Linked DNA regions of Caenorhabditis elegans. The protein of the gene in region 2 interacts with the protein of the main gene of each other region in a pairwise test. Each region holds a gene or a part of one and is shown on either strand. Other genes may lie near its edges.

Region 1 (4,957 bases), on a different chromosome or scaffold from region 2:
TTCAAAAAACTTGAAAATTTGAGCCATTTTTAATCACAAAAACTCATTTTTTCGCGATTTTCTGAAAAATGTCGTTAGATCTGGTGTTGGCGTACTTTTAAAGCTACAGTAACCCGGAAAAAGTGTGCTAGGGGTGAAAATTAGCGGTGAATTCGGTATTTTCAACCAAATTTCCTCAAATTTTCTCGAAAATTACGCACGTAAAAAGCTGATTGCTGGCGCTAATCGGCTGAACCCTCGTAGTTGGTATTCCATTAATTGTATACGGACTCCGTGGCCGTTGAGCCATATTTCCAGCCAATTGGCGTTCCATTCCAAGCATTCGATTGTCATAGGCAGTAAATGAGGAATTGGCACGAGAACGAGACGATGAATCGGCAATTGATGGAGTTTGTTGGTCTCCGGCTGGAAAATTCACTAGTTTTATGGAAAAATTCGCCAATTTTCTGTGAATTTCCAATTAAAAAAAAATGATTTTTCATGATTTTTAAAGCGAAAATAGGCTTGAATTTGTAGTTTTTCTCAATTTCAATACATTTTTACATAGAAATTTGTAGAAAATTCGAGAAAAAACGCCAAAGTTCTAATGGGTGGCCTAAAAACTTGCAAAAAGTTAGGCCACAGTGTTTGGGGATTTGCTCAAAATTTGATTTTTGTGGAATGATTCTATGGAAAATTGCAAATCTTATTGCGAAAATAAAAATTTGAGCATAGCTTTTTGGCTCAAAATCAGCTTGGTGGCCTAGAATTCCATAAAGATCGGTCACCGAAAATTTCTTAGCTGAAACCGATTTCAACACTTAAAATCCATCAAAACCCCAAAAATATGCTAAAAATCGGGTGAAAAATGAAAATTTGGGCATAGCTTCCGCATCTCCGAGTGACAAATGTGCTCTATTGTCAAATTGTTGGCAGAAATACGGTATTTATTCACATTTTCAGCCCAATTTGAGGATGAAAATGTGAATAAATACAGTTTTTAGTGCAAACAAAAAAAAACGAGTAGAGGCACATAAGTCACAGGGGAAAATAGTTCAAAAATTTTGTGGCCTAGAAATCCAAAGAGTTCGGCCACCGAATGATTTTAAATCCAAAAACCACATAGAATTCAGTTTTTATATTCAAAATTCGATTAAAAAGCGACTCTTCGCCAAAAAAAAGCCTCAAAAATTAAAAAAAAATTAATGAAAAAAAACGCAATAATTGTTGCTTGAGAATTAGAAATTTAATAAAAAATTTCTAAAAATCCGAGTTTTCCGACTGGTGGCCTAGAAATCCAAAAAGTTCGGCCACTTAATCATGGCAAAAATTTCGTTTTTTTTTCTATTGAAAATTAATGAAAAAAAAAACTTTTTTTTTTCAATTTTCCACATTTTTGTAGGTTTTATTTCAGCATTTTTTCTCGAAAATCGAACAAAAATAAGCACAATCTTCAACTTTTAAGGAGAAAAAAAATATTTTTATAAAATTCAGGTCAAATTTGACCGAAAATGTCTAATTTTTCGAATTTTTAATGAAAATAAATGTCAATTTTCAAATAAATTATCGACTTTTCAGTGATATTTGCTCCGTTTTTTCACAATTTTTCGCGGCTAAAACCGGTAAAACACCGAACTCAGCGTGCTGAGCACCCGTCCACGACTTGCAGATCTTCTTTGAAACGGCGATGAGGATGGAATCGAATTGGTCGGGGTACCTCCAATGGATCCCAGACCAATACTCGGACTATTTCTTATTGTTTCATTATGAAATAAGTGAGCCTGTCGACATCTCACAAGAAAATCCATCATATAATTCATTTCTACCGATTCGTTCATCAGAGCATCGATTTTTTTGCGAAGCGGTTTTATTCCGTTCGGATCACGAAGTTCGCCTGGAAAACTGCCGCTTTTTTTTTTGGTTTTTTCCCTGGAATTTCATACATTTCTTAACAAATTGATCTACACATGTTCTCGAAGCGTTCACATCGTTGAGCTGACGGCTGTGGAATAGCCCTTCTTGAACTTTTATCACATCTGAAATACAGAAAATTGCAAAATTTTGATTAAAAATCCGTTTTTCTACGGAAAAATCGGCTGAAAATGGTTTTTTTTGTGCAAAAATCGCGAAAATTCACAAGTTTTTCGGCTTGAAAATGAAAATTTGGGCATAGCTTCCGCATCTCCAAGTGACAAATGTGCTCTATTGTCAAATTGTTTGCAGAAATACGGTATTTATTCACATTTTAAGCCAATTTAAGGCTAAAAATGTGAATAAATACCCGTTTTTACTGCAATCAATACGAATAGAGGCACAAGAGTCACAGGGGAAAATGTTCAGAAGTTTGGTAGCCTAGAAATCCAACAAGTTCGGCCACCAATTGATTTTAAATCCAAAAACTGACTAGAATTCGGTTTTTATAGTTGAAATTCTAATAAAAACCGATTCATCACCAAAAAACCGTCTAGAAAATTTCAAATATCTCAAAAAAAAAAAAGACTTAAAATTAAAATTTTGGTTTTAAAATTTGAATTATTCAAAATTCAAAATCCCCGTTTTTATGTAGAAAATCAAATAAAACGGTCTATTTTTAATGGGTGGCCTAGAAATCTAAAAAAAAAGTTAGGCAACCAAGAGAAAAAAAGCCGAAATTGGAGTTTCTCTAGTAAAAAACGAGATTTGAACGAAAAATTCAAAATAAAATTTTTGGCTCAGAAAATCGTGGCCTAAAAAAATCCAAGGAGTTCGGCCACCAATATATTCTTTTGATGAAAAAAATCTGAACTCTTATTATAATTTCAGGAGTTTTTCTGCAAAATGTCGTAAGATTTGGTGTACCACAGTGTTTGCGTACTTTTGGTGCTACCGTACCCCTCGAAATTCGAATATTTACTTGAAATTATTGATATTTTATGGAAAATCTCATTTTTTCGTCAGAAATTCGATTTTTCAGTCAATTTTTCGGCTTTTTCGGTGTTTTTTCTTCTAAAATTCAATCCAATTACCTCTATCATGAAACCCGAAAGCATTTAAAAATTGCTGTACAGCTTCAACTTCTTCGCTGCCTTGTCGACGCATTTATCTGAAATTTTTCCATTTTTTTTTCATAAAATTTCAAGTTTTTGGTTAATTTTCTCCAAAAAATATTCAGATTTTAGTTTTTTTTTAAACAAAAATTAAATTTCTCGCAAAATTACCCAATTTTCAGGAAGAAAAATCGATTTTTAGTGATTTTAATTCAGAAAAATTCGGGGAAAACTGAAAATTCCCGTAAAAAATAGAGATAAATATACACAAATAGGTAACAAAACCAGCACAACACAGCAAAAAAAGGGAAAAATTACAGAAAAATCGATAATTTATTCGAAAATTGATAAAAGGGTAGAGGAAAATTGGAAAAAATGGGGGAAAAAGACAATTTTTAAGGTGAAAATGAGTGAAAATATCGATTTTTCAGGCAAATTTCAGGGAAAAATTGAACATTTTGAGTGAAAAAAAGGGCTTTTTGCGGAATTTTAAGTGAAAATAGGCGAATTTTCAGCCAAATTTCAGGGAAATGGCATATTTTTAACTGAAATAAGTGACATTTTGGCTATTTTTCACGGAAATTCGAAATTTTTAGGAAAATATTGTCATTTTAAGCTAATTTTTCAATAAAATGGTAACATTTTCACAAAAATAGGCAAAAATGCCAAAATGTTGCCCAAATTTCCAGTAAAAAAGGGATGTTTTAGGGAAAAATAGTGGAAAAAATCGCGATTTCAGCAAAATTTCGATAAAAACAACGAAAAAAAAAGGCAAATTTTCACAAAAATAGGCAAAATTTGGTCAAAAATGCCAAAATTTTGACATTTTTGCTCAATTTTCAGGGAACAAAAAGGGAATTTTACGATTTCAGCCAAATTTCGATATTTCCAGCTCATTTTTAGCCAAATTTCAGTCAGATTTCAAGAAAAATAGGAATTTTCAGCGGAAAAAAGTGGAAATTAACAGAAAATTGGAACATTTTTGATAAATTAGAGGTGATATAGGTGAAAATTCGGCGAAATTTTGTGATTTTTCGCTCATTTTCGCCGCCAAAAAGCCAATTTCTACGACTTTTTCGATCCGAATTTCTTTCGTTCGTAGAACAAATCCGTCTTCGCACTTCCCAAATTCACAATTTTCGGGCATCCGTCACGATCCTTTTCGAGAATTGTGCATTCTTTGCAATAATATGCATCACTGACGCCAGCGCCACCACAAATCACACACCGACCCTGCAAAAAAAAAAATGGAAATTTTAATTTTTAGCCGAAAAAAAACATGAAAATTTCGCGTTTTTCCGATTTTTTTTTAGAAAAATTTGTAAATTTTGCCGTTTTTCACTCGTTTTTTGAGAGAAATTTCACAAAATTTTGCATTTTTCAGTCGAAAAATATGAAAATTTTTCAATTTTCCTGGTTTTTCCCCTCTTTTCTGAGTAAAAACCCGTTTTTAATGGAGAATTTGAAGAAATCCAGTCAAAAATTTGAATTTTTTAAAGAAAAAATTAGTAAAAAAAAGCTGAAAATTGCACTTTTTTGAATAGCGTTTTTCACGCGTTTTTTGAGAGAAATTTCACAAAATTTTGGATTTTCGAGCATTTTTTGCGGAAAACTGACAAATTTAGCGTTTTTTACGCCGAAAAGCTGGTAATTTCCGCAAATAATGTCAATTTTTAGTGGAAAATTTGAATTTTTCCATATTTTTCTTTTTCCAAAGTGAACTTTTCAACGTTTTTCACAATTTAAAAAAAAAAAAAAAAAAAAAAAAAATATATATGAAAATATCCTGAAAATTGGAGCATTTTGAGGGGGAAAAGCTGGAAAATTGAGAAAACTTCAATTTTTTCGAGAAATTTCACAAAATTTTCGACTTTTTAGTCGAAAAAACATGAAAAATTCGAAAATTTTCCCATTTTTCACGGGAATTTTCAGATTAAAAATTAAAAATTTAT
Region 2 (4,100 bases):
GATTTTATCTATCGGTGAAATTACGATGTTAATTTTTTCAAATTCATATAGCGGATCTGGAAATATTTTTGACGTTGATAATTTTGTGTTTTATAGCCTGAAACCGACTTAAAATACAGAAATTTCTACAACCCAAAATTGTCGTAAGATCCGCTGCTTGCGGACATCAAGTGTCGTCGTTTATGACGTAAAGTCCGCAGATACACACACATGACTCATGAATTTGTTTTTATCGCTTTCTTGCGAAATTTAACTTATAAAAGCACTTTCTCACCGTAATTCTCGTATTTCAGAAACTCAAATACCAGCTTAATACACATAAAATCATCATGGGAGCCGGAGAAAGCAGTATGGCCTTGGAAAGTGAGTTTCAAATTGATTTCTCTTGATTTTGACTTATTTTCATGTTTTTATCTTCCAGAACACTTATTTGATCTTAAATTCGCAGCGAAACAGTTGGAAAAGAATGCTCAACGATGCGAGAAGGATGAAAAGGTCGAGAAAGACAAGCTGACGGCAGCTATTAAGGTAAAAAATAATTAAAAATGAAAAAAAAAACAATTATTTTTTAAATTCGATTTTTTCCAGAAAGGAAACAAAGAAGTCGCACAGGTTCATGCTGAAAATGCGATCAGGAAGAAGAATGAAGCAGTGAACTACATTAAAATGGCCGCCAGAATCGACGCAGTGGCCGCCCGAGTTCAAACCGCCGCCACACAAAAACGAGTAACCGCCAGCATGAGCGGCGTAGTGAAAGCCATGGAAAGCGCCATGAAGAGCATGAATCTCGAGAAAGTTCAACAGTTGATGGATAGATTCGAAAGAGATTTCGAAGATCTCGACGTGACCACAAAGACGATGGAAAAGACGATGGACGGAACGACAGTGTTGAATGCTCCGAAGTCACAGGTGGATGCTCTGATTGCAGAGGCCGCCGACAAGGCAGGCATCGAGCTCAACCAGGAGCTTCCGTCAAACGTGCCAACTGCTCTGCCGACCGGGACGCAAGCTGTTTCAGAAGACAAGGACCTCACAGAACGCCTGGCTGCTCTTCGCAACATGTGATCTTCCAGATTTCTCAAGAAATTTCTGTGAATATGAATATTCTGCTGACGGTTTCATTTTTAAAATTAAGATACTGCTTTTTTTCTTGTATATACAACATTTCTCTCAATAATGAAGCAACAATTTTTCTGCTTTTTTTTTGTTTTATCTAATCTATCTAGATCTACGAAGTTCAGCTCATGTCTTCTTCGAAATATTTATTCTTTTATTTTTCAGAACATTTTTTCTACAAATCGGTCGCTTACGTGTAGGCCACAACAATCACCGCCCGCGTTTCATTCTCTGCGTCTCTCGTCTTCCCACACTCTCTCTCCACATCGTCTTATCTCTCTCATCACTTGTTTTATTATTTTTATTCTTATTTTTCACGAATTTTCTATAAAAAACGGAATTTTCGAAGGTTTTTAAGGAAAAACGTGGCAGTTTTAAAGCTATTTTAAACATTTTTCGGCTAAAATTTCGAATTTCGGCTTTAATTAATTGATTCAAATTTAAAAATCAAATTCTGAACTCTGAAGTGTGTACTTTGACCCCGCCGCCGCTGTTTTTTTCGATCATTTCTTCATTTATTAATAAATAAATAAATTTATTCCCAGTTTTTCTTCCAGCCAAGCGATGAAGATTCTCGTCGGAGTCAAGAGAGTTGTCGACTATGCTGTCAAGGTAGGATTTCAGGAAAAAGAGCAAAAAATTCGAAAAAACAGCTTAATTTCGGCGAAAATCTTGAATTTCACCAACTTTTCCGTGTCGCAGCAGTTGGAAATCAGTTTTTTGTCATTTTTGGCTCAAAGTGTACCCCAATCAACGGAAAATCGATTAAAATTGGCAATAAAAGCTGATTTCCAACCGCTGTGACACGGAAAACTTGGATAAATTGGAGATTTTAGACACATTTCGATTCTATAAAAGCCCAAAATTTCCAGATCCGTGTCAAGCCGGACCGCTCGGGAGTCGTCACCGAAGGAGTTCAACACAGCATGAATCCATTCGACGAGATCGCTTTAGAGGAGGCCGTCAAGCTCAAGGAGAAGAAGCTCGCCACCGAAGTCGTCGCGTTCTCGCTCGGCGGACCAAAATCCGCCGAAGTGCTCCGGACCGCGTTGGCGAAGGGCGCCGACAAGGCAGTTCACGTTCAGGTGACCGACGCCGAAGCTGGCAAGCTCGAGTCATTCCACGTGGCGAAGGCGCTTCAGAAGATTGTCGAGCAGGAGAAGTTCGACGCGGTTTTTCTCGGAAAGCAGGCAATCGATGATGATTCGTCGCAAACTGCTCCGATTCTCGCTGGCCTGCTCGAGTGGCCACAGGCTCTCTACGCGTCGAAGGTTGAAGACGCAGGCGCTGGACACATGAAGGTCACCCGTGAAATTGATGGAGGTCTTGACACGATTAAGGTGATTCTTACTATATCGATCGATAGCCGTGAAAAGCAGCCCCGCACAGAACGCGAGACGGGGCTTGATATTGCAACCCTGCGGCACGGTTTTTCCTTTTTCCGCTTGTTTTTTGTTTGATTTTTTCAATTTTTCATGTTTTAATCTCTTTTTTCGAATGAGAACGTTATTTAATTTAAAATCAAAATTTATTAATCGATCCTTAAATTTTGCAAAAATTTGTCGCACAGAAAGTGGGGCGGAGCGTAGCTTACGCAACACTGCCGCACGGGGTTTGTCTCCGCCCCTTTTCCACTGCTTTTTTTGTTGATTTTTTCAATAAAGTTTCGATTTTTCTCTTTTTTTTCGAATTGGATTTTCATTCGAAAAAAAAAGAAATTATTGAAAAAATCAACAAGAAAAGCTTAAAAGCAGTAGAAAAGGGGCGGAGGCAAACCCCGTGCGGCAGTGTTGCAAAAGCTATGCCCCGCCCCACTTTCTGGGCGACAAAATTTCTTGCAAAATTCAAGGATCGATTAATAAATTTTGATAGTTAATTAAATAACGTTCTTATTCGAAAAAAAAGGAGATTAAAACATGAAAAATTGAAAAAGCGAAAAAAGGAGGAAAAACCGTGCCGCAAGGTTGCAAAATAACGCCCCGCCCCTATTTCTGCGCGCCGCTATTTTGTTTGCAAAATTCACGGATCTAAAGTTTTATTCGAAAAATTTTCTATTTTCCAGGTCAAAGTGCCATTCGTCCTATCCGCCGATCTTCGCCTCAACGAGCCCCGCTACGCGACTCTTCCAAACATCATGAAGGCCAAGAAGAAGCCACTGAAGAACATTCCAATCAAAGATCTGAATGTAGATATCACACCACAAACTGAAACTCTTGAAGTCACCGAGCCACCAGTTCGCCAGGCCGGAGGATTCGTCGACGATGTCTCGGCACTTGTCGCCAAGCTCAAGGAGAAGGGATTCGTCAAGGCTTAAGCCCCCGATAACCTCTTCCGCCGCTGAATTATTGTAGTAGTCGAATCAGAAAATTTTGTATTTAAATTATTTTTATTATTTTTTCTATTCAATGTTTTATGTGATGCAGGTTTAAAAAAGTATGAAAAATTATTTTTGTTCATAAAAGTGAATAGCTTGAACGGGAAACGATCAAAAAACGGAATGCATTGTTCACAAAACCATGGGAGAATTGGTGTAGGTAGATCTGGAAATATTACGGATTATTATCTGGGCGCGAAAAATTACGCGCCCCGCCCCTAAACGATGGGTCTCGTTAGGTAAATATTTGGCGGCAAGACGGGAAATTCAAATGTTTTACATTATTCTTGCCAATTTTTAAGCTTTTTTTCATATTTTTTATAAGTTTTAGGTCGAAATAACGATTACTTCCGACGATTTTACCCGTTTTCAAGCATTTTTCGTTATTTTTTATGTTTTTATGCCGAAATTATGGTTAAAAATGATTATGACATTAACTTTTTCAATTTTGACAAAAAAAAACTCATTGAAAACAGCGAAAAATGCTGGAAAATTGGCAAAAACGGTTTTCCCGCCAATTCCTAACGAGACCCAACGGTTTGGGGTGGAGATTTGTCCGTGGAGCGCAATTGCACTTTATAGTATTACGGAAACTCACACATTCTGAGAA

What was found. Proteins that work in one complex are often made in the same cells at the same time.
Region 1: the proteins of etfb-1 (region 2) and gip-1 interact in a two-hybrid assay, tested with the Caenorhabditis elegans proteins (one large-scale study listed by BioGRID).

Annotation. Positions count from the first base shown.
Region 1 is NC_003281.10:2,345,695-2,350,651, reverse strand, and holds the start of gip-1 (Gamma tubulin complex component protein N-terminal domain-containing protein), read right to left. Parts: upstream 3,062-4,957; 5' UTR 3,058-3,061; coding exon 2,985-3,057; intron 2,016-2,984; coding exon 1,923-2,015; intron 1,874-1,922; coding exon 1,616-1,873; intron 406-1,615; coding exon 201-405; intron 1-200. Other genes in the region: phf-5 (PHD finger-like domain-containing protein 5A), read right to left, coding at 4,071-4,238.
Region 2 is NC_003279.8:2,417,927-2,422,026, reverse strand, and holds etfb-1 (Electron transfer flavoprotein subunit beta), read left to right. Parts: upstream 1-1,673; 5' UTR 1,674-1,680; coding exon 1,681-1,728; intron 1,729-1,988; coding exon 1,989-2,456; intron 2,457-3,178; coding exon 3,179-3,430; 3' UTR 3,431-3,566; downstream 3,567-4,100. Other genes in the region: did-2 (Charged multivesicular body protein 1b), read left to right, coding at 330-363, 422-528, 589-1,065; F23C8.13 (PDZ domain-containing protein), read right to left, coding at 3,570-3,656.